Caenorhabditis elegans: one gene and its partners. The protein of the gene in region 3 interacts with the protein of the main gene of each other region in a pairwise test. Each region holds a gene or a part of one and is shown on either strand. Other genes may lie near its edges.

Evidence for each region.
Region 1: the proteins of lin-11 (region 3) and miz-1 interact in a two-hybrid assay, tested with the Caenorhabditis elegans proteins (one large-scale study listed by BioGRID).
Region 2: the proteins of lin-11 (region 3) and let-391 interact in a two-hybrid assay, tested with the Caenorhabditis elegans proteins (one large-scale study listed by BioGRID).
Region 4: the proteins of lin-11 (region 3) and tbx-33 interact in a two-hybrid assay, tested with the Caenorhabditis elegans proteins (one large-scale study listed by BioGRID).

What each region holds. Positions count from the first base shown.
Region 1 is NC_003282.8:10,810,614-10,815,430, forward strand, and holds the start of miz-1 (Zmiz1 N-terminal tetratricopeptide repeat domain-containing protein), read left to right. Parts: upstream 1-1,785; 5' UTR 1,786-1,814; coding exon 1,815-1,880; intron 1,881-2,286; coding exon 2,287-2,400; intron 2,401-2,446; coding exon 2,447-2,552; intron 2,553-3,323; coding exon 3,324-3,540; intron 3,541-4,817.
Region 2 is NC_003279.8:6,036,575-6,041,793, forward strand, and holds let-391 (C2H2-type domain-containing protein), read left to right. Parts: upstream 1-1,828; 5' UTR 1,829-1,856; coding exon 1,857-1,883; intron 1,884-1,962; coding exon 1,963-2,075; intron 2,076-2,120; coding exon 2,121-2,199; intron 2,200-2,249; coding exon 2,250-2,450; intron 2,451-2,544; coding exon 2,545-2,663; intron 2,664-2,967; coding exon 2,968-3,280; intron 3,281-3,691; coding exon 3,692-3,890; intron 3,891-4,090; coding exon 4,091-4,401; 3' UTR 4,402-4,693; downstream 4,694-5,219. Other genes in the region: C27A12.4 (C2H2-type domain-containing protein), read left to right, coding at 1-907; szy-5 (C2H2-type domain-containing protein), read left to right, coding at 5,100-5,219.
Region 3 is NC_003279.8:10,246,415-10,254,298, forward strand, and holds the start of lin-11 (Protein lin-11), read left to right. Parts: upstream 1-1,877; 5' UTR 1,878-1,924; coding exon 1,925-2,157; intron 2,158-2,363; coding exon 2,364-2,492; intron 2,493-3,259; coding exon 3,260-3,398; intron 3,399-4,753; coding exon 4,754-4,844; intron 4,845-5,429; coding exon 5,430-5,491; intron 5,492-5,796; coding exon 5,797-5,898; intron 5,899-6,221; coding exon 6,222-6,323; intron 6,324-7,607; coding exon 7,608-7,722; intron 7,723-7,884. UniProt on the Caenorhabditis elegans protein: Probable transcription factor which is required for asymmetric division of vulval blast cells. Involved in olfactory plasticity probably by regulating the expression of transcription factor mbr-1 in RIF neurons.
Region 4 is NC_003281.10:11,632,707-11,638,701, reverse strand, and holds tbx-33 (Putative T-box protein 33), read left to right. Parts: upstream 1-1,861; 5' UTR 1,862-1,876; coding exon 1,877-2,051; intron 2,052-2,180; coding exon 2,181-2,337; intron 2,338-3,021; coding exon 3,022-3,370; intron 3,371-3,638; coding exon 3,639-3,770; intron 3,771-4,846; coding exon 4,847-5,296; 3' UTR 5,297-5,486; downstream 5,487-5,995.

The DNA of each region.
Region 1 (4,817 bases), on a different chromosome or scaffold from region 3:
TTAAATATGGAATTTATAGTTAGTTATAATCCCTTAATAGTAAGCTTCTGCCCAATTTTTTTGGATAGACTTTTTCATAACTAAATTTAAAAAATAGGCAAAATTCCATTACATGTTTCTGACAAAAATCATGAAAACTCTGAAATTTTGCATCACCTTTAAAAAAAAAGAAAACTTGATTACGAAACCTCAGAAAATTCCAAAAATGATTGAGCAAAATTTCAGTATATTTTGAATTAACTTTCACTATCGAGGTTAGATTCTTTTTCTGTCGATATATAAATCCTACAAAATTGTTCTTATTGTTCCTCGAAAAAGTGTCTCAACAAAATTATGATTTCTGTTTTATCATTCTAATCAATCATCTTTATATCAAGTTGGAAGCAAATAGATTCGCAATCAATTTCATAGGTATCACATGATAGCAACATCTGAACTTTTGGTAGTTTTGGAGGGAATGTTCTTTTTTTGGTCTGATAATAGCAGTGAGCAAACAGTGATGTACGAAAAGGTCAGAGATATATTTAACACTTGAAACTTTTACACAGAAAGTGCAAATTATTCGCAATGTTCAATGCTCAGGTGTTCCTATTCCTTTTAATTAAATGTGGAGTAGCGCTCGTGGAGATTTTCAAGGAAGTTGGGTCAAAAATTCAGGAAAGTATTTGATGAAATATCTAGCATAGTTTCGTAGTCTTCACGATGATAATTTTCTGAAACCGAATGCAATAGTACAAGATATAAGATACCTCTGGGTGTTCTGAATATTTAAAACTTTGAAAGTACATAAAAATTCTAAATAACTTTAATCGTTTCTGACTTATGATATTTTGAATTATTGTTCCATCATCTCTTTTCCACTTTTCTTATTCTTCTTGTCCCATATGTAAATGATCCGTTTTCTCTCGATCTCTGTGTCTTCCATCGTCCCTCCATCTCGTACTTGATGAGAGCTCAGAAACCCAAGACATTTGGTCGCAATCATTTCTCTCCATACGCTGCGCCTCTCCGATTGAGATGCTCTCTTGCTCGGCTTGTTTATGTGTATTTATTTATACGTGTGTTCCGGTTGCTCCGCGCACCGCGTCATTGCCGCGCGGAGCTCGCACGTGTTTTCCGGACACATGCATGGCGCTGCTCCAATGCCAATGCTCACCTCCACAAGCCAACAACCAATTTTCTGACGATTTCTTCTGAATAGCCCTACGCTTTTTTCGTGCTTCATATGATTTTTGAATCATCAAGATTCCAGTTTGAGATTCTAGTTTCCACAGTTTTTTTTTCTGATGAAACATTTCATAACCTTTTTTTGTCGTTCAGATTCATTGCTTTTATTCCTTAAACTCGAATAGTATTTTGATTGTTTTGAATACTAATAACATTTTACCATTTTTGTTTCTTCAAATTTTTTAATAACGCCACTTGCAAGTTTTGACATATTCTAAAGTTTTATAAAAAATTTCGATATTTCCTAAAACCTTGCTAGTTTTTATTACAATTCGTATTTCTTTTAAACTTTTAAGAGCCTGTTGCTTGTTACGTCTTTCAGCCGAGTTATATATATATAATATTAATTTCTCTTTTTTCGAGTGTTCAATTTTCAATTTTTTAACTTTTCACACGTCACAATATCTTTACACAAATGTCCACTAAACTTTTTATTGGACAATAAATCACAATCCAATCGTTTTAATTGTCTCTTTTTCTTTTTCATCTCTCTTCATTTCTCCCTCGTATTCGTCTTTTTTCCTGATTTTCTATAAATTGGATTGAAACCCAATAAGTCAATTTTCAGGGTCCTTAACTCAGCCGACATGGCTGATCCTACCTTTGCGGAGCACGTGGCCACAACGAACAGTCGACTTGCTTCACTCAGAGCTGTATGTTTCCAAAAAATGCTTCTAGTGATATTTTCCAAGAATCTCTAGTTTTTAGAGTTAGTATTAATTTTTATTTATTGACTATTGACAATATTATGCATACAGCGAAAATTTATGCATTTAATAAAAATTGCTACATACAACAAAAATGCAATTATTTGATTTTTAATTGAGAACAAAACTTTAAGAATTATTTTACCGCATTTTTTAACAATACTACTACCCATAACAAGATTATTTTAACAGAGCCCCATAAAATTTTAAATGAGCATTTACAACATTATAACACTTCTTAATTCTGAAAAATTACATATAAAACTTCCGAAATTTCGAACTTTATTAAAGTCGTGCAGGTAAAATTAAAGAAATCATAGACCTAGTTCAATTACAAAAAAAACAATTTCAGAACCTAATCGATGTGTCAACATTTCCGGAAGCGTGTAGCGAACTTACCAAATGGTGTCAAGATCAACGAGCTTTTACTGCTCACTTTGAGGATAACTTGATGATGGCTTTAGAAGTACACTTTCAAATAAAATTAAACATGGCGAATGTAAAATTTTCAGGCGGCAATGGATTATGGGACCAGGGAAAATTACGATTATATGCTTACTCATGGCCTAGTTGGAGCTTGTTTCACACACCGGAAGCATCTATCAAAGCCAGCAGCCAGTAAGTTGAACACATTTCCGGATTGAACTTGTTGGCCTGTCTATGATCGTTATCAGAAAAAATTATTTTCTGTCTGGAAATGGAGTTTAGATAACAAAATTTAAATAATTTTATTAGGCCATGTTGCTCTGTTTTTAAAAATTACATTTCCAAGTTTGTCATGAGTATCCTTCACTGACATACTATTAAAAAAATGTTTTTGATTTTTTTAAACTGGTTTTAAAAATAGGCACGCAGAAATAGAATTCCTTTTAAAAACAATTTTTCACTGTTTCAAAATTTCTTGATCATTCAATTTATTTCTGTGTACTACTATTAAATCTTTCACAAGGAATTTATATTTCAAGATTTTCATCAAAATTGTGACAAGAACAAACAAAGTTTCTAAAACGATTTATTATTTTTAAGTGTTTTAAAGAAATAAATAAATAAAAATTATCGTTGTTGCAACTCCACCTCTATTTGTATGTTCCAGAAAAATTAATTTTCTCAGCCCTGATAATTCTTTCAATATTTTGATGCTCTTGTGCTTAAATTTTCGAAGAGTGGCCAAACCCTGCTCAGACTTGACCTTCCTTGTCCTGACTTGTAATACATGAAAACATATGCTGAACAAAAGTTTGTCCAAAGTTTGGTCAAAGTGTTCGATTTCTTGCAAAGTTAAATGAACGAAGACAAAATGAAGAAGCGGGCGGTCACATTCAAGTATACCAAAAAATTCCCTATTCTCCAGCAGATTTTTTGAAACCCTCTAAAAATCTAAATTTTCAGCTCGAATCGGCCGGTGGTACGAGCAAATGCGTCGATTAAAAAAGAACGGTGGAAAACGAAAACGTGCTCCACCAAAACCCAAAGATCCAGCATTACAAGCTTCATCTCAACCGACCGGAACACTTCCTGTTCTAACGTCACCTTCTTGCCCTCAAAATGGACAACAACTGCCAACTGAAAACAACAACTTCATGTTCTCTCCGAATTCTTCTGACGGGTTAGTTCTCGTGATTTTTTCTTCTTCGATTAATTTTTCTCTGAAGATAAGAGTAAATGCAAAAAAAAGAAAATTTTAATCTGGCTCTGACACTGACACTGATAGATTAATCTATACACATTTATGAGTTAGGAACATAAATTTATGAGCTCATGTGAGGGTTAGTAGGATTTTGGATTTTGTTTTTAGTTCCGAAAGCATGTGATTTTGAGTTTTTTTTTTGAAAACATAAGTACGGTATTTGCATGCTCAGTGTTTTTTTTTGTTTTGAAAGTTTGCCCGCATGCATCAATTCGAATTATACTTAGATATTACCACGTTTTGTCAAATTTTCAAACTGTTTAAATAACCTACTGTCCATATAACTTGTATCCTTATCCAATTATTTTAATTGTAATAATCAGCTATTTGATATTTTAACGACTAACAAAGAAATTCTTTTGGAAAAGTAATACAAGATGAAATACGAATTTTCCATTTTGAAACATAAAAGTTACGGTAGTTTGTCCAATTTCCTTTTTTTTACGTATTCATGCCGATCCCAAGCATTCTTTTTCCGTAGGAGTAATAAAAACAGAAGTATCTTGCTTTCTATCCTAATTCTTTTTTATTCTCATTCTCCTCGTGCTCTTCCAAAAGACACCAACACAAAATTTTCCAAAAAAAGAAGAAAAAGCTTGCATACTATGTTCTCTCCTTGCTCCTCCCATTTTTTGAACTGGCAGAAGCCAAACACCGCTGTCGGCTTCGGTTTTAGAGATTGAGAGTAAAAATAAAGCTAGGAGCGAAAGCGAATTCTTTTTCTGGCACCGCTTCATCAATTAAGCAACAAAACACATAGGGAAAGAGGGAAAATACTCGGGTATAATACTCGGGAAAATAAAATACTCGGGTATATTTTTTTGGTCCATTCAAAAAATTTTTTAATTATTTTTGAATGTATTTTATAACCAGCAATTCAGTTTAGCATTTCAAAGTAATGCATAACATTAAAAACCTGTTTTTTTTTCGTTCAGTAAGATTTTAAGCTTCCAGATTATGTTGCGAATTTATTTTCATATTCATAATTTCAAAATGAAGGCTGAAATTTTTGAATCTCGCTCACTATCCAGCTAAAAATGTTAACACTAGATTAAAAACTTATTTTCTTAAGTATTTACATCAAAACATGTGATTTCTTAACTTGACAATCAAAATAAAATATTCCAACCAATTTTTCATGAAAATTAAACATTCCAAACTTACGTTTTCCTTTTCAAATAATGAACAAATTTATG
Region 2 (5,219 bases), 4.2 Mb from region 3:
CTACCGTTGCAAGAAGTGCTGCATGGATCTCACGGATCCGAGCCAACTCTACAACCATCACAGCGTCACCAATGGAGACCTGTGCACCTCGAAGACCGCGGAAATGGAAGTACTTCCTCCGATAGGAAGAGATAAATCGGTGGATCGTCATAGGTCGCTGAACGTATTTCTTATGGTTATATCGAAGGAAGAATACCATAAGCATAGGACTTCCTCCAATTATGCCCACAACACTCGGAGGACTGGAGGAACTCCTGCTTATGATGATCTTCCGTGTTTCAATCAGATCTCGAGGAAGAAAACATCCTACAGCCACCAGGTTCCGGAAATCGATGTAGAGCTCAACAGTTCTTCCACATCAGCTCTTCCAATTAAAGAAGAGGTTACTACAAGGAGCCCTGCACCAAATATGGGTTTTTGCGAAGTACGCCAGCTCCCAAAAGACTCCAGAGGGCCTCAGAGAGATGGCTCCTCATCTCCTGATGTTCAGTTCATCAAGACTGTGACTATGTCACGGTTAGAGAATGTTGTTCCTACCAGCTCACGTGGAAAGGCGCCAGAAGATTCATCTGCACCAGCACGTCTAGGATTCCTCTCCGATCGTGCGGTCTCCGGGTCATCAATCCCAGCCGTCGAGGAAAGATCTGGAGAAGGCAGCTTCGACTTTACAGGTCCTTCCACTCCTCGCTTGGCCCAGCCAGCTTTTGGGAACTTTTTTGGGAATAGGGCGAGTTCTTCGTCTTTCGGTGCACCATTGTCAACTCTAGCTGTGGACAAGCTGATTCCGGAACCTCATCTCTCCGGAAGCAAAGCGGTCCCAGACCATCGTTTCGATTTCAAACATTTCAGACGTCTCCGAGCAGCGGGAGGAGGGCCCCTCAAGGCGATCGCCGATGTCTCCATCTAATCAACGGGGACGTGGAGCAGGACACCAGCCACGTAACAGGGAACATACACCGAAATCGCCATTGAGAAACCAGAGGGTGAGTAATTTGCAAAATGACCTAGTTTATTCCTCGATCATGCGAAAAAACCAACTAAATCTATCTGTAAATTTCACAGCGTGGTCGCCGAAGCCCCTCGACAGATGAGTGGACCCCCAGACGTTCAGAGCATCACCATCGTCGTGACTATAGAAGAAGAAAGCGGGATTATTCAAGAGATCGCTCACGCCATCACGGAGATCGTTATTAAATTCCATGTTGCATCTCAATTTCTTTTTCTTCGATTTCTCGAGTATTGAGCCTTTATTCACATTCCTTCTCGTATGTTCATAATAAATATTCTATCTACGTTAAAAGTAAAATATTCTATCTACGTAAATCTCCTTGTCTAACGCTCAATACACAACACAAAACATTCGCCTATTTCTTAGACTCGTAAAACTTCCTGATTTCCTTATGAATTTGCATGATCAACGTGCTGCTGTTTCACTATGAACATTTTCTACTCGTATGTTATCCGAACGGCTTTTATCAATTTAAAGATTAAACTCCAATATTTGAATGGAAATGAAGATGTGATGGCAATGATCTATTCATTACTTCTTCTTCTGTCTCGTTAAGAAACAAGATTTCAGCCGTTGCAAAGAATTATATTTATTAAACCCTCAATTCAAATTTCGCGCTCTTTCGAAGACGGGATATCGGAGTGTCGTTGTTTATTTTCAATTTTATTTTTTATTCGCAAAAAATCAATATTTGACTTTTTCTTCTATTTAAAACAGTTTTTGTTGAATTTTTCCTTTCATATAAATATTATTAATCTTTAAAATTTTTATGTTTATATGATTAAATCTTCCTTATTGCCATTAATTGTGTATTTTTCCAGATCCTAAAATTCGATAAACAACCAAAATGAAGAATAACGAGGATTTAGACGAAGTAGTACATTTATCGCAAGTAAAATAACTAATTTCAATTTAGTTTTCCAATTTTCATTAAGAAAATCAAAAATTTTCAGAATTCCGATGCAATTTTCGAGGAATGGGCAGCTGAGTGCACTCCCGACGCGCAAAAAGAGCACGAAGAGCTCGAGGAGATTGTCAAGATTCCAGATTCGACATACAGAAAAAAGTATGAAATTTTTGTGCTAAAAATTTATTAAATATAAAATTGAAGGAAAGGAAATCAAAAGTTGCCGACGGTGACGACGTGCGAAGTATGTGGAGTTGCGTTGAAATATCCATCGAGGATTATGGTACAGAATATTTTATTTTTATAACAAAATGAAGATTTTTATTTGTTCAGGAACACATGAGAACTCACACAGGCGAAAAACCATACGAATGTGACATTTGTGGAATGAGATTCACTCAAAGAACTCCAATGATTAACCATTTTCGTGTTCAACACATGGGTGATCTCCCATTTCTGTGTAATTTCGGTTGTGGCAAACGATTTGTGAATAATTCACGCAGAACTGCACACGAATTAAGCCATAATGGATTGGTAAGAAAAGTTTTTATGCTATAGAAAAATTTAAAACATCGAATCAAGCATTTATATCCTAAAAGATTACCGGAATAAGATATATTTTTTGCAGAAGCGAGCAGGACCGGCACGGCCTTATCTGAAACCAGTTAAAAAGATTGTTTGTCCATCAATGGATATGGATATACTTTCAAATTCTGCACTAGCTAATTATATATCACCACCAACGATGTAAGTATATGCAGAAGTGAACTAAACTTGATAAAATAAATAAAAATTACAACAAAAAACAAGAATTATAAGATTTTACATTTTTTAAAAAGTGAATTGCGGTGTTTAATCAGCAATCTTTAAAATTGAGATTTTAACACTTTTTGTTCTTTAACAAATTTTAAAACAACATTTAAAAAATCGGTGTTTTAATTAATAAAAAACTTTGATAATTTAAATAAAACTCCTGAAAATTTCTAAATTCGAAAACTTCCATCTTATTTCCGAATTGGTAAATTTAAAAGAAATTAAAATAACTTTGCAGAGACTCAATATTTCAAAGTGATCCATCAACTTCTTCCTCTTCACCTTCTCAATTTCAATCATCAAATCAAACAACAAAACAATCTATATATCCATCAGAAAAAGAAATGGAAAAAGCTGCAATATCTAATGCTCGAATTGATGACGTTATTAATACAGTATTGGCTCGAGTTTTGGCTCCGATTGATGAAGAAATTCCGATCGAAGAACCAGAAAAAGCTCCTCAGAAAAGAGCATATATTTCAAATCGAAGAGCAACACTTGCACAATGCAATATTTGTGGATTAATGCTTAAACATCCGAGCAAAATTGCTGTTAGTTTTTTTTTCGATAAAAAACGAATTTTGGTGAAAAATGAAAAATTAAAATTATTTCAGTGCCCACAAGCTGAATTTTTGCTGAAAAATTGAGAATTGGACAGAGAAACAATTTTTTCGATAAAAAGCATTCGAAACTTGATTTTCTGAGCAAACAGAAAAAAATATTTGTAATTAAAATTTTTTAAATCAAAGCTTATAGGTTTAAATGTGTTAAAAAACAAAATTTCCAATTTTCTCTCTATTTATAAACCTCTCAAGTTCTGAAATTTCTAGAAAAATATAATATGATTTATTATATCGAAAATTGTTGAATTTTCTAAACTTTGAAATCAAAAATTACAATTTTTAATAAAAAAAAGAAAGATAAATTTATTTTTAAATACAAATTTCTTTCCCATTTTTCAGGATCATATCCGAACACACACAGGCGAAAAACCATTTGAATGTGGAGAATGTGGCTTGTCATTGTCAAAAGCGAGCTCTTTAAAAGTACATATTCGTCGAATGCATACTGGAGAACGTCCATTTGAATGTACTTGGAGATGTGGATTGTCTTTTGTAACGGATTCTGTTAGAAAAGAACATGAAATGACTGTACACACTGGTAAATATTCAAAATATATTTTACTATCCGAAATTTGGGTTAAAACCGGGGGTAATTTAGAAAAAGAAAGCAATTTCCATTTTTTTTTGTTGCAAATTTTAGAATTTTCTCAAATTAAGAGTGTTATTGAAAATATGTTAACTCAAAAATATTTAAAAGAGTAGTCATCTACAAAAATTACAATTTTTGAAACATTCCAGGTATAAAACGTTACACATGCGTTGTAAAAGGATGTAATGCAGTATTTGCTCGTCGTGTATATCTCATGAGACATCGAAAAAATGCACATCCCGAGCTCTTCACACCAATTTTCGATCATGTTCAAGTGAATCACGAGGAATCACAGGATTCAGTTATTGTTTATGAAGATGATCATGAACAGAACAATCAGATTATAATGCTCACTGGTGATGGTGATGACGTCAAGATCTTGGCTCATTTTGAAGATGATGAAGAGGAATTTGTGGAGCAAGGAGGAAGCATGGAAGATCAAAAAACTGTTCATTTTTGACCAGAAACTTGAAAAAGCTCTTTCATTTTCCAATATCTAGGCAACTTATAGGGTAACTAGCATTTTCTACTTCATATATTCAGTTTTCTATTCCACCCAGCAATTAGTTTTTAAAATGGAAGAGTTATTCAAATTTCAAATTTCTAGGCCACTATTAAATTTTGCATTTTTTAACCATTTTTTTCATTCAAATTCTAGAAAAATTGTGAGAATTAATTCTCACAATTTTCAGTTTATTTTGGTTAACCTACGAGTTTCTTTTTGCTTCTTTTTTTAATAAAGATTTTTTTTCTCAGATTTTTCAAATTTTTTTTCTTTTCCGTATTCAGTATTTTTACTGTTTAATTATACTTGCTTTTTTTTTATTGTTTGCCAATATATTTTGAAACTTTCTCCTTTCGCAAAAATTGAAAAGATGAGATTTTGAAATTTTTTTTAACATTTTCAAACTTTCAGCAAGCTATTTTTGAGCAGTTCGAAAAAATGTAGCGGTACTTTTTTTTTGAGCCCAATTTTCTATAAAATGTTTTAAAAGGGTTTAGAATGTAAAAAACCAATTAATTGTTTTTTTCAAATTTCACAAAATCCAAAACAAATTTTTTTAGATATACCTTTTTTAATTTGCTAAAAACTTTCTAAAGGTCCAGGAAGGCCCATAAAAAATTAACGTCGAAAAATAAAAATCGATATTTTCAGAAATGGCAGAATCTTGTGTAAAACCTCAACTACCTCGTCCTCGAATTCCAAATATTAGAGTTTTTCAACCAACTACTCGAATTCCCACATTTACATATGAACAATTCAACGAATCCGTCGAA
Region 3 (7,884 bases):
CGTCGACATTTTTTAAAGATACTTTTCTGTAATCAAATTAAACTCTTTCTTGTTGCTCCATTACAGTCTTCATATGATCAGAAATCTTCTCATTCATGAATTGAGGAATTTCCACTGAATCACATTCTACCGTCATCTCATTCCGCTCGTCTTCTATTACCGTAATCCTTCAGTTTTATTTCCAATTTCTGCGCGAAATGGCATTGTTTCAGTAGGAGGTGACAAGCCCGAAATGGGATGACACTAGACCAAGGACAACCTCACCGGAAGAAAAAATAACAATCACTGAACTCGTAGATATAGTTGACACACAAGAAATGACAAGTTCAAAATGAGAAAATCATTTCACTTTTACTCTAGTTGTATACGTGACACTTTTGATTTCATATCGAATGAGTTTGTCCTTCTATCCAGCTGATTCTGTTCGGTTGGATGTGGTTTGTATTATATTGAAAACATGCCCAAAGTCAAACAGGTGAAGAGCAGAACTTTTTGCTCGAAACCTGATTGAAACTGTGTTTATTTGTTCCATTGACGGCTCTTTGAATTAAAATTTTGAATTGGTGGTGTCTAAAGATTTCATTTGGTCGAGGCGTCAAGGGGCGCCTCTGATCCGTCGATTCACTGGTATTTATCAAGAGATTGCTTCTGTGGGTTAAATAAGTTTTGGTTGTATTTTACCGGACTAGCTATTCTTTTTTCAATGTGCTGAAAAACAATTTGAATACAGAATTACAGAGCTTGCGAAGTTTTGAACTGAGAAAAATCCTTCTAATTTAGGATATTTGTTCCTAAAATAACATGTAATACAAAAAAGTAAAAATCATTGTAGTTGTATGACCCCGATGAAAACAAATGGAAAGTTTCAAAGTAGCGAATTAAATCTTAGCGCACTCAATTATACAACTTTAACAGCTCAGAAAGTGTTCAATTAAAAATTCAATTGAAATTAAAAGAAACATTTTAAAGCTTCCGATTTCGGAACGATAATCAAACTTTTTGAATTTAAAATGTATGTATAAAAATATTGTATTAATTTGAAAATAACCCCAATCTTTTTTGCGAAGATTGAAAAGAATCTGAAAAACTGGCTGAATGTTGACTGCCTAAAAAAATATCACAAACAATTTTTATGGAAAATGGCAAATTTAAGGAAAAGTTTGACGATTTTTCTGAAATTTTTAATAAAATTGACTTGGTTTTCATATGAACCAAATATTTTTCTAGATTTCCACATTTGAAAAGTTGCGTTATTGTACCAAAGTGGGCCGTTTTGTAGATTGGTACAAAATTAATATATACGGTATCCCATTTTAGACAATCGTTCTTCTGGTAAAAAATTCCAGAAAAAATCCGAAAAAAATTAAACGTAATTTGCAAAACTTGATCGTAGAATAATGTCACTATCAAAACAAAAATTACTAAAAACCACCCCTTGAAGTTATAAAAACTACCCTATTAGACTTGCACCCCTTTTGATCTACTTTAAAAGCTTATATTTTTGCTGTCTTTAGTTTTTATCAAAATTGTAAACTGATAAAATACTTGGAAAATATTTTTCTTTATTTCTCATGTTGACTATTTTTGATATAACTGAAGATAACAGAGATATAAGGTGTGAAAGAAAACGTAGTGCAATACAGAAAATACGGTGAATGAAAAATATTTGAACTATCATGAGCATTTAAACCAAAAGCGATCCCTATTCTCTCGTTCTTCTTATTTTTCTTCTAGGCTTCAACATTCGTAATTTCCTCTCTCTCTTTCCCTCAATAGCTCTCATTCTTCAGGCTTTCTCTCTCTCTCTCTCTCTCTTGTGTCAATAACTCCGCCCATCAACCAGCCAGCCTCCTGGTGCCCCAACCACCGTAACCTTCGTGGTCGTTCTTCTTCTTCTTCTCCTCCTCCTTTTACTCCCTTCTCAATGCATTCTTCTTCTTCGTTCATCATCACCTCACTGGAAGAAGAGGAGAAGAAGCCTCCTGCTCATCATCTTCATCAGCAGTCAATTGAAGACGTCGGCAGTGTCACCTCATCTGCCACGTTGCTGCTTCTCGACTCTGCCACGTGGATGATGCCATCGTCAACGACTCAGCCGCACATCTCTGAAATTAGTGGAAATGAGTGTGCCGCGTGTGCACAGCCTATTCTTGACAGGTATCGGTCCCTCACCTTTTTTTGCAATTTATGATTATTTTCCGTTTAGTCTCATTCCAATTTTCATCTCTAGCTGCTGTAACACCACCTCTCTCGCCCCTAATTGAATTTTTCCATTTTCGATTCATTTCCCCCTCTCAACCCCTTCGACAGCAGCAGCACTAGCAGTCATTTCATTTTCAGCCGACACTTTCACTTACTTTCAGATATGTATTCACTGTGCTCGGAAAATGCTGGCATCAGTCTTGTCTTCGATGTTGTGACTGTCGAGCGCCCATGTCAATGACTTGTTTTAGTAGAGATGGTCTTATTCTGTGTAAAACTGATTTTTCAAGGTAAGTTCCGAGCAACATTAATTTCTAAGAACTGTGATCTATAAAGAGCCGGGCTGCAAGTTTTGAGCTCTTGGAGATAGTTCAAAAACATCTTACAATTAGGTTGTGATGAATTTTCCATTGAATTTTCCAGTGTGCAAACTTTAAAAGTTCTAACTGAACGCTGAAGTTTTGAAGCTGAAAACCTCTAAGATTCTTCAACAGTGACAATTTCAAAATTCCAAATTTTTAGTCAAAAGTTTATGTAAAAATATATAAAACATGATCAATTTGAAAACTACGTTTATTTTCATTGAAAAATAAAAAAAAGTCCTGAAATCTGGTATGAAATTGTAATAACTATTTTCTGGTAGATGTCAATTTTCAGTAAGTCTCTCAGATTTTTTTCAGTCTTTTGCAACATATTTTTCATATTGAAAAATTGGTTTTTTTCATGCCAATTCAAATAATCGTACTGCGAATCGTCACCCACTCCTGGATATATTGTAGTTCCAAAACTTTGCCAAAAAGGGCTAGGAGAATATATTCAAGCAAATGACGGCATAAAATTTAAAGATTCCGCAATTCCAAAATCCTCCCAAAACATGTTCTAAAGTTTTGAAGATCATATTCCAAAATTCTCAAATTTCTTATGCTTTCAAGCTCACTTGTAGTAAACAAATCTTACTTGCTTATTTTGATTTTCAAATTTCAAATTCTATATCTAAATTTTCCCACGGTTCCCACGGTGTCCATAATTATTTTACCTACCTGATTGTGATTTTCAGGCGATATAGTCAACGGTGTGCCGGATGCGATGGGAAATTGGAAAAAGAGGATCTGGTGAGACGAGCAAGAGATAAAGTTTTTCATATTCGATGTTTTCAATGCTCCGTTTGTCAAAGGTTATTGGACACTGGTGACCAGGTGAGCCAGGCTAAGCCTCTTCTCTATATAAGATTGATTGTACTTTTGATCTTATATATTAATCCAGGCTGGTACCTTAATTGAACTAAAGTTTCAAATAAGTTTTATATTATTTAAGGCTGACGGTAAGTGATATTTGACGTTTTAACTGGCAGTTCTTTTTAAGCTTGTCTCCACCATTATCAAGGTTTTTCTATAAGTTGAGCGGTGACTCAGATGAAATTAGATATTCATAGTCGCTATTTTCTCACGTCTAACTTATACTGATAAGCCCATTTGCAAATAAGATACGCAGATCCCTAAAAATCACATGCTCACACCTCTTGAATGTGTCCCCATCATGAGCCCCTGTCAGTTGCACCTGCCTCTTACCGAGAGCTCTCTACCACTCAAGCTTCACGCCTTCTTGTCATTCAAAATGTTTTGTTTTCTTGAATAGAAGATGTCACTGAATGTCATTGATGCTGTTCTGAGTATTGTTTTGACTCATGTAGATGAAACAGATAGTTGATTAAAATTTTGATCATAAACATTATAGGGAACATCAAAAACTATTTCTGTCTAGAGGCGCGCTGAATATCTAAAAACCCTCTCAACTTCCATACTGTTTGTTTTGGTATAATAATTCTACTTTTTAAAAAAGAAAAATTAATGTAGAAATATAGAAAAAAATATTCGATTGACTTCAAAATAATGAATAAATATTTTAAATGGAACGTTTGAAAAATACTTCAAGTACTGTTTCGGAAGTTATCAAAACTACTGTTAAAGTTTTTCAGATTTTTTGAACTTTTCCAAAAAAAAAACACTTTATTTCAGATCAATCAAATATTTTAATTTTTTTAAAATTTGTTTTATTTGAAAAATTTGGTTGTCGTTGTATAGTTGCCGGAAGTATTTGCCGGACACCATACTTTAAACATTTCTCATTATCAGTTGAAAAACAATACGTTAAAACAATTTTCCAAGAATACTAGGATTTTGGAGCAACCGTTCAAAATGTCTCGAGGCGCATATTATCTTCTCATTGCTCATTGCTTCTGCTTATATTAATTTCAAATCAGTTAAACTACCCACTGACCAACCGGTAGATCTTATCTCAATGCCATTTTCCTTCCATTTTCCATCCTGTCTTCCTGCTTCAAAACCTTCCCCAATTCCCTTTGGGATGTGTCCTGTTGTCACTCTACAATCATCTTCTTTCCATCCGTCTCTAACCTATTATACTTTATAATTGCATTACACGGGGGACCTAGTCAAGGTTTGAGACAGCTCCAACTGTCATGAAAATATGCGAGGGGTTCCCACGATTGTTTTTGTTTTTTTTTCGCGGAATTTTTAGTGTTATTTTGCAGCTTTATATCATGGAAGGCAATCGATTCGTGTGTCAAAGTGATTTTCAAACAGCAACCAAAACATCAACGCCCACATCGATTCATAGGCCCGGTAAGGTTTTTAAAAATAAAGAAAGGGAAAGAGAAAGAGACGAAGAATTGAGTTTTAAAGATAATACAAAAGTTGTTCAAAGTTATGGTAGAAGGTGGAGTTTTCATAAAATTGTTGACTGCTGAGGCGTCCAAGGCCTACTCCAATAATTGAATGAAGGCAGATAGGCTAGAGGCAGACAAGTGAGCCTGAACACATGCCTACCTACCATGAAATTCTTTATCTCTGAAGTAACACCGCCAGACATAATTTTCAGTAGATACCCAAAAAGTCAAAAAAGAATTCCCAGATTTCAAGTCATAAAATCCTTAGAAATTTCTTCTTCTTCTCATAAAACCAGAGACATACGTTCTAATCCATGCTTCCGTTTCAAACGTATTTAAGATGAGCCAGCGAGCCATGTGTTGTTTGAATAGTTTTACGATGATAGGTATCTCTGCACAAAAGAGGAAGAGACAGACAGCTGTCAACACAGAAAACATTTCTTTGTATTCGAATTACCGCAAAATAGTAAGGAAGGGGGGATAATCTCGTTGCGGAATGGACATACACTGGTATTAGACAGATGATGTTCTTTTGTTACAGTATCCAATGGATCCGAATGCAATTCCGATGTGGAGGAGGATAATGTGGATGCTTGTGATGAGGTGGGTCTGAAATATATACTTCTCTGGAATTGCCATTTAGGATCAGTTTTTACTTTTTTTTAAAATAGAAAGTTCTAGTAGTGGCTAAAAAGTTTGCTGTAAACGAATCTTTAAAAAATACAAATATTTTTCTAATCAGTTTAATAAAGAAGCATACTTCCCTACTTTTGACAGCTGGTATCATTTGAAATGATTGCAAAAATGGCTCAACACTAAAAATATTGAAAAGATTTAACCTATAACTTACAAGTCAAAATGTTTTGTTAGAACCAAAGTGAATCTAATCTAACTTATTAAAATTTCAGGTCGGACTCGATGATGGAGAAGGCGATTGTGGGAAGGACAATTCAGATGACTCGAATTCTGCGAAAAGGCGTGGCCCTCGAACGACAATTAAAGCAAAACAAGTGAGTTTTCTGAAGTAGAAAAAATTATCTATGTCGGAAAGGAAAGTGCAAACATAATTATTGAAATAACTTTTTGAAAAAATAATTAAATTTCTAAATCCAGGTCAGTGTAACAAATATTTTGTCAGTTGACAATTTTTTGGTAAAACATAGTCTGATCAAGATTTGTGCTGCCAAAGTTGGGCAAAACTGACAGAGGATATCAGATTTTAAAATTCTAATTAATGTTTGATAAAGAATCCAGCGTTTCCTGCTGAAAATCTTGAATTTCCCCACTTAAAAAATATCTTATTACTGTCCAAAGCTTCAATAAATATTTTCAGCTTGAAACCTTAAAAAACGCGTTCGCCGCAACACCCAAACCAACTCGACATATCCGTGAACAACTTGCCGCCGAGACAGGACTCAACATGAGAGTCATTCAGGTTTCTATTCTTCTTCTTTTTTTCTTTTTTTGCACATGTCTAAGTATCCTCGAAATGCACTATCTCTCACAAATTCTCATTTCCCGCTTTAATTCACCTGCCCCGCCCTTCTCTCTCTTGGGGGAGGACACATCCTTCCACACGCACACACACAAATTCAATTACCGTAGTCCTTGAAAGGAGAGAGAGGGAAAAACGGAAAGAAGAAAAAGAGAAAAAAGTGAGTGGATACTGTAGTTTCTAACTAATATCATGTTATTTACTGTAAGAAAGATGTACACATCACATGATTTTTATGTAACAATAGAAATAATAATGATCATAATCATAATAACTGATAACAGGAAACTTAACGGAAAGCCATAGGAAATTGGTTGTGTTTAGAGAGCTATACGAAAATGATGATGAAAGAGAAAATGGGAAACAATTTCAATTTGGAAGATAAAAATCTGAGTGGTCAAGGGAGAGAATTGCAATGAGAAATTTGAGTTGAACTCAGAAAATTCGTTTTTTTGTTCAAATTTTTGAACCCTGAATATTCGGAATTCCAAAATTAATTGTAGTCTTAATTTTTTGTGTGAAATATTTTTAGCCTACTTCCACCGATCAATTAAATTTTAATTCTGTTTATCTGCACAGTTGCCCCATAATAGTAAACTTAAAAAACTGCTAACACATAACTTTTAGTGTTTTGATTCGAAAATTTGGAAATAACTGAACTAAAAAAGGGTTCGCTCTCTATATTGATTTTTTTCAAAAATTTAATCTTCGTGTACAGTGTTTTAGTTCACTTTTAAACTTCTAAATGAAAAAGTAGTCAACTACAGAGGACCATTCGGAACTGAAAAAACTCGATCTGAATAGAACTTTTTTTCATAAAAACATATGATTGAAAAAAAAATTCGACTATTTTTTCTTTTTTTTCTTGGATTTCTGGACTTGGGAAAATAATCCGGGCGTTTTCGAAAATTTTTCAATCGTTCAAAACAATCTGAAATTTTAAAAATTGAATTTGGGTGATAAAAGATTCAGTAATTTTTTTCAAAAAATTCAAAGTTTCCAAAATCTTTAAGAATCTTCCATAAATCTACTTTTGGTAAAATTCCGAGAATGAAAATGAACAATTTCAGATCGGCTTTTTCAAGTTCAAAATGCTCTTCTACAGATAACATAATTTTTCTGTGGGGCTCACTCAAAATATATTTTTCCAAATGACACAGGGTTTACCTTTAATAGATAATTTTCTCCATTAATTTGTTTTCCAAATAAATTTCCATTTTACAGGTGTGGTTTCAAAACCGCCGAAGCAAGGAACGAAGAATGAAACAACTTCGTTTTGGAGGATATCGTCAATCCCGAAGACCACGCCGTGACGATATTGTAGATATGTTCCCGAATGGTGAGTCCACTTAATCGCTTCTTCTCGTTCTCAAATATTACGCAACACCAATTATCACGGTAGCGTGAAAAACAGATGAAAACACGAGGGTAGGGCGTTAGAAGCAGGTGTTCCAATGGCAAAAAGTCGATTTTCTGCACAATATGTACTAGGTTAAGCTGG
Region 4 (5,995 bases), on a different chromosome or scaffold from region 3:
TTTACAACCGTATAGAGTCCCCGTGTATACTAATGGGTATACAGTTGATTGTAAACATGTGGAGAGATGTTGATGTTGTTCTGAATATCTTTGTCTTGTTTTACGATTTTTTTGGTTGATTTCTTATATATTTTTCCTGCTATAAATTCTAAAATGTGCGTTTTAATTTATGCCTACGTGCCTGCCTACCACCTATCTTCTGCAATTTGGAGTTTCGACTGTGGAGATACGTTTGAATTGGTTTTTTTCGCATTTCAATGTAAAAAAAGTCTCTAGGCAGATTTACGGCTGTAGGCGCTTTAGTAGGTGAGCGTAGGTTTGCAAAAAACGTAGGTCAATAGGCATGCATATTCCTTCAGGCAGGCGCAAAGGCCCTCAGGTATGCATAGGCTTGTAGACAGGCCTGAGTCTATAGGAAAGTGTAGGTCTGCAGGCATTCGGTCTCTAAGTTTGCGTAGATCTTGAGGCAGTTGCAGGTTTGTAGGCACTTGTAAAGGTAAGTAAGTAGGCGTAGGTCTGTTGGCAGGCTTCGGCTTAGATAAGCAGGTTCAGGACTGTATGATGGGGTAGGTCAGTTCGAGTTGTGGGCAGGAGTAGGTTTGTAGGCTTATAGACATTAGGCCTATAAGCATGCGTAAATCCGCAGGCACGTGCAGGTATGTAGGCAGGCGTAGGCCCGTAGGCAAGTGTAGGTCTGCAGGCATGAATGTAGGCATGGGTGTTTGGAAGACCTGCGAAAATTATTTTGGAATTCACGAAAATATGGTAACTTGCTAAGTTTCGACGTAGCTACTTTTACGTTTTTTTTTTTTTTTTTTTTTCATTTTTTTGTATACTTTTTCGGTATACTTTTTCCGTATCTTTCTCTCTTTTACCTACTCTCTTCTTTTACCAAATTTCCCTGACATGCTCTTCTAATAGAGGTGACCCCTAACTTCCCAATCAATAGGTACCAAGTATACCAGTTCCGCCTACTTACCTGACAGCCTACTGCTCCGCCCAGTGGATATAGATGGTTCGGTGGCTGGAATATTAAAGTAGTCATTCTTGTTTTTTGTTGTGGTCCTGGTAGATCAAATTTAGCTTTTTTGCTAAATATTCATTATATTTTTTTACTTTTCTAAACATTTCAATGTCTAAAGTAGAATTTTTTTTCTTTTTTTTCAAACATTTTTCAAAATTTATTATATTTTTTTAAATTATAAAAACAAAAACCTATTGTTTTTACAAGAAAACATTTATTTACCGAGTTTTCCAATTGTAACGTCCAAAATCATGGTTCCGGGTCTCGACACGACAAATATTTTTTTTGTTGGAATTTTCACCCTAGTTCTTTCGATTAAAAAATACATGTACTAAGTACAAAAACTCATAAATTTTACCGAAAATAAAAATTACAGTAGTCTTTAAAAGCACACACCTTTTTGAATTTGACAAAAAAATTCATGTCGAGATCGGGCGTAAATTGCAAAATTTCGCGTAAAATGATTTTTTTTTTCAGAATTTTCGAAAAAAAAAATCGGAATTTTTTTTTCAAATTTTCAGAAATTGAGCCAACCTGGAACTTTTATTTTTTTCAAAAAATTATTTTAATCTGGAATACTCTTAATTTTTCTCCAAATCTAATGTCAAATAAACAGGCCCCTTTCCTCCGCACATCTCCACTTTTTGACTGCCACGTCACCGATTTGACCTACCATTTTCCCGCTTTTTATGGGCCCTCTTGTCTTCTATTCCTCCTTCCGCAAAAAAGAGTGTAGACTAACTATAAGATTGTTTCTAACTTAATTTTCGTTTTTTTTTTGACGTTTTGGCCTTATTTAAATATTTTATATATATATATATATATATTTATTTTCAGAACTTATCCCCAAAGATGAATTATCAAAACGAACAAAACGCCTATCAAATGCAGAATCAGGAAAATGTTCCACCGATGAGTTACGGGTACCCAATGCCAACTCCGGAGCAATTCCAAAAAATGAGTTACGGGCAGAACTTCCAAGCTCCATGGGATATGCAGCAGCAGATTCAGATGTTTCAGCAATATCGTAAGTTTAATTTTTTTTTTGAAATCATGGTGCATCGAAAAAAAAATTTGTTTTGTAAATTTCGGGCAAAATAGTAACTTTATAATAGCAATATATTAGTAACAGGTTCAAATTTTAAAAAAATTTCAGACCAAAATTTCCAAGGAGGATATTCGGACCCATTCACCTACCAGAATCAGTATGCACATCAGCCAAAAATTGTGACGGTCACTTTGCAGGACCCACAGGACCTCTGGAAGGAGCTTCATTATTTGAGTAATGAGCAGAATGTGCTTAATAATGGGAGGTTAGTATTTTTCGTGAAAAATATTATTTAGTTTCAAAATTTTTGAAATTTTCTGAATCTGATGTACAAAATTTTTTTAAATTGCTCAATTTTTTTTGCCTGAAAATTTCGTCTGAAAAAAATGAGCAAAATTTTCGGCAAAAATTTTTTTTTGGAAAATTTTTGAAATTTTAAAAATGTAAAAAAGGATTTAAAAAAATATTTTTTCATAATTTTTAAATTTTTACAATTCTCCAAAGAAACATATTATTTGCTTATATTTTCCGAAAATCTTAAAGTCAAAAACAAACGTTCAAAAAAGTAAACCAACATTTGTTTTTATTAAAAAACAATTTTCGGAAAATTTTAATCTAAAAATTTAGTCAAAAAAGGGCGAAATTTTCTGCAAAATTTTTTTGTCCTAAGAATTTCAATGTTTACTTATTTTTTTAGGGATCAAATTTCATAAAAAATTTAAAAATTCATCTGAAAATTTTCCGCCAAAATTTTATTTTTCGGGAAAAAAATCTTAAATGTAATAGTTTCTCTGAAAAAAAATCGAAAATTAATTTTTTAACTTTGAAAATTTTCTCTTGTTTCTAAAGTTATATCGGATAATTTTGTCTGAACAAATTTGCAAAATTTTCAGCCAAAATTTTATTTATTTTTTTTTTTTAAATTTTATTTAAAACCAATTTTTTCCAGAAAAATCTTCCCAGCCCTCAACTACAAAGTCGAGCATCTCAATCCAGAATCCAACTACAAAGTGGAAATTTTGCTCCGCCGAATGGTCCCCTATCAGATTCAATATTCAAATGGAAGCTGGTCCCGGAAGAATGTACAGAGCAAGAAGACTATTGCAATGAAAACAGAAAAAGTATTTGTTGGAGAGTTCACTGGACAAGATATCATGCGTACCGGCTTGGATTTATCAGATGTGAAGGTGTTTAATATTGGAAGTGATAATAAGAAGAAAGTGACTCCATATGAAGAGATGAGTGACGCAGAGAAACGAGAGTATGATACTCAGTATTCGAAGAAGAAGACCTCCATGGTAGGTACTGCCAAAATGTGGGCGGGCGTAATCTTAAGCCGAAGCCTGATTCAAAGCCTAACCCGAACCCTAAGCCTAGGCCTAAGCCAAAGCCAAAGCCTAAGCCTAACCCTAAGCCTAACCCTAAGCCTAAACCTATACCTAATCCTAAACCTAAGCGTGAGCCAAAGCTTTATCCTAAGCCTAACCCTAAGCCTAAACCTATGCCTAATCCTAACCCTAAGAATAACCTAAATCATTAACAACTAATAATTCAAATTTTTTGCAGCTCGAGGTATCAAATGAGTGCAAGTACATCCCGGTACTCATCATCAACGAGATTCTACCAAATCAAGAGCTTCGATTGGTTGGGGAATTTGAGAACGAGATTACCCAATTTGCGACAGTTTCTTCATACAAGGTAAGACTATAAGGCTATAAGGCTTGATAAAAAATTAGAAGAGTTAGTAATTAAAATTGGCTATGAGAAAAAAATTTCTTTCAAAAAAATTCGAAAAAAATCGATAAAAAATTATTTTCAAAAAATCCCAAAATTTTGCCAACTTATATCTTTGTTTGTTTACAAGATAAAAACAAATGCTCAATTACAAAGTTATAGAAAAATACATGATAAGCATTTTGCTAGTTGACAATTTTTTGATACAGCTCAAAATTATTGAGATATAAGATGATGAATTTGAGCTATAAAATCGTCATAAAAAAATAATTGAAAAATGTTACAAATTGAAACATTGTTGCTACTTTATTTTTGAATTTCTTTCTAACAATGGAACAAATTCAGCGTTTGCTAAATTTATTTAGAATTTCAAACAAATTCAAAAAAAAAACCGCTGAAAATATTTAAAAAAAAAACGAACAAAATTAAAAAAAAAATCGCCAAGTTCCTAGTTTTCAATATTTTTTGAAAAATAAAAATCTTTAAATTTGGAAAATTTAAATTTACAATATTTTTCGGTTATTGCCGTATATTCAAAAAATTCACAAATTTTATACTTACTAATTTCTACAATTTTCTCGCTTTTTTGTATTGCCGAAAAAAGTCAATTTTAAAAATTTTCGGAATTTCTTTCGTTTTCCTTAATATTTTTTGGACTGTTTTTTTTCTAAAAAATGGATACAAAAATTCCACAAAATTTTAGAAAGATTCACAATTTTTTATTTAAAATTTTTTTTTACAATTTCTTTAAAAAAAAACAAATTTCCAATAACTTCCGGTCATTTTTATAATCAACAAATTTTCTACAGTTTCCATATTTTTTGTCGATAAAAAATTCGATAATTAGTCTTTTAAAACTTCTTTTTTTTTTAAAGATTTAACCAAAAAAATTCTGATTTTCATCATGATCAAGGCTGGGACCAAAAAATAATTTTACACCAAAAAAAAAACAAAACATTGAAATTTTCGAAAAAGCAAAAAAAAAAAAATTATGCTTCAATTTATTTTAAATCCTATCTATAATTTGTATAATTTTCCAGAACCACATCGTAAAAGCCTTGCGCACAGCCGCCAACCCAACTTCTCGCGGAGACGCCAAACAGGAAGCCGTTCAGGTCGGAAAGCAATGGAGATCATCCAACAAGTCCTTGCTGGAATCCCTCAGACCATCTATGATTTGCACCAGTGTCTCCACAACTGCTCCAAGCACCAATTTCCATGCTCCACTGCAGTACCCCGGCACCTCATCCCCATCCAGCAACTTTGCTCCAATGACACCTTCCACGTCATTCGACTCGGCGTACAGTTCCTTCAACGTGACGTCATCAACTCCAGAACAAATGTGCTACAATCCGATTCCTTCAATGTCAACTGACTACTCATTTTGCTCATTCGACTCTGCGACATCATCACCGCCACTTCAGCCAACAGCCACGTCACCAGAGGCTTCTCAAAATCAGATTAAACTTGAAATGAACCAATACATGTAATTATTAATTATTATCTCACTATTAACTTTTTCCTTCAAAAACGTTGTCAAAAAAGCAACTTGTCGATTTCTATGTTGAATAACCGTTTTCTTTCCGCTTTTTTCTTATTTCAGTGTTTTTATCTAGCCAACTTCAATAATTTCATCGTCCCGTGTTGCTTTTTTTTTTAAAATAAACTTCATTTTTGAATAGATTTTTGGATTTAAATTGATTTTAAAAATTAAATTAGAATTTAATTAAAACTTTGGGGATGTCTAATTAAAAGTATAAAATTTCTAAAAATTTTAATTGGAAACTCTAAATTAAAAAAAAAACTTTCAATATTCAAGTTTTGAAAGTAATAAAATCAAAATTTTTTTAAAATTTTGGCGGGAAATTCAAATTTTCTGAAAAGAGATTTGGCGGGAGATTCAAATTTTCTGAAAAAATTTTTTTGGAGGAAAATTCTAATTTTTTTTAGAACACGTGGTGCCAGGCTGTCCCATTACGGTTTGATCTACAAAATGCGGGAAGTTTTTGATCAAAAAATTGTGACGTCAACAAGCTCTTAACCATGCGAAATCAGTTGGGATGTCTGCGTCTCTTATCCCGCATTTTTTGTAGATCTACGTAGATCAAGCCGAAATGAGATACTCTGACACCACGTGTTAGAAAACATTTTGGCGGAAAATTACAATTTTCTAAGAAAACAATTTTTTG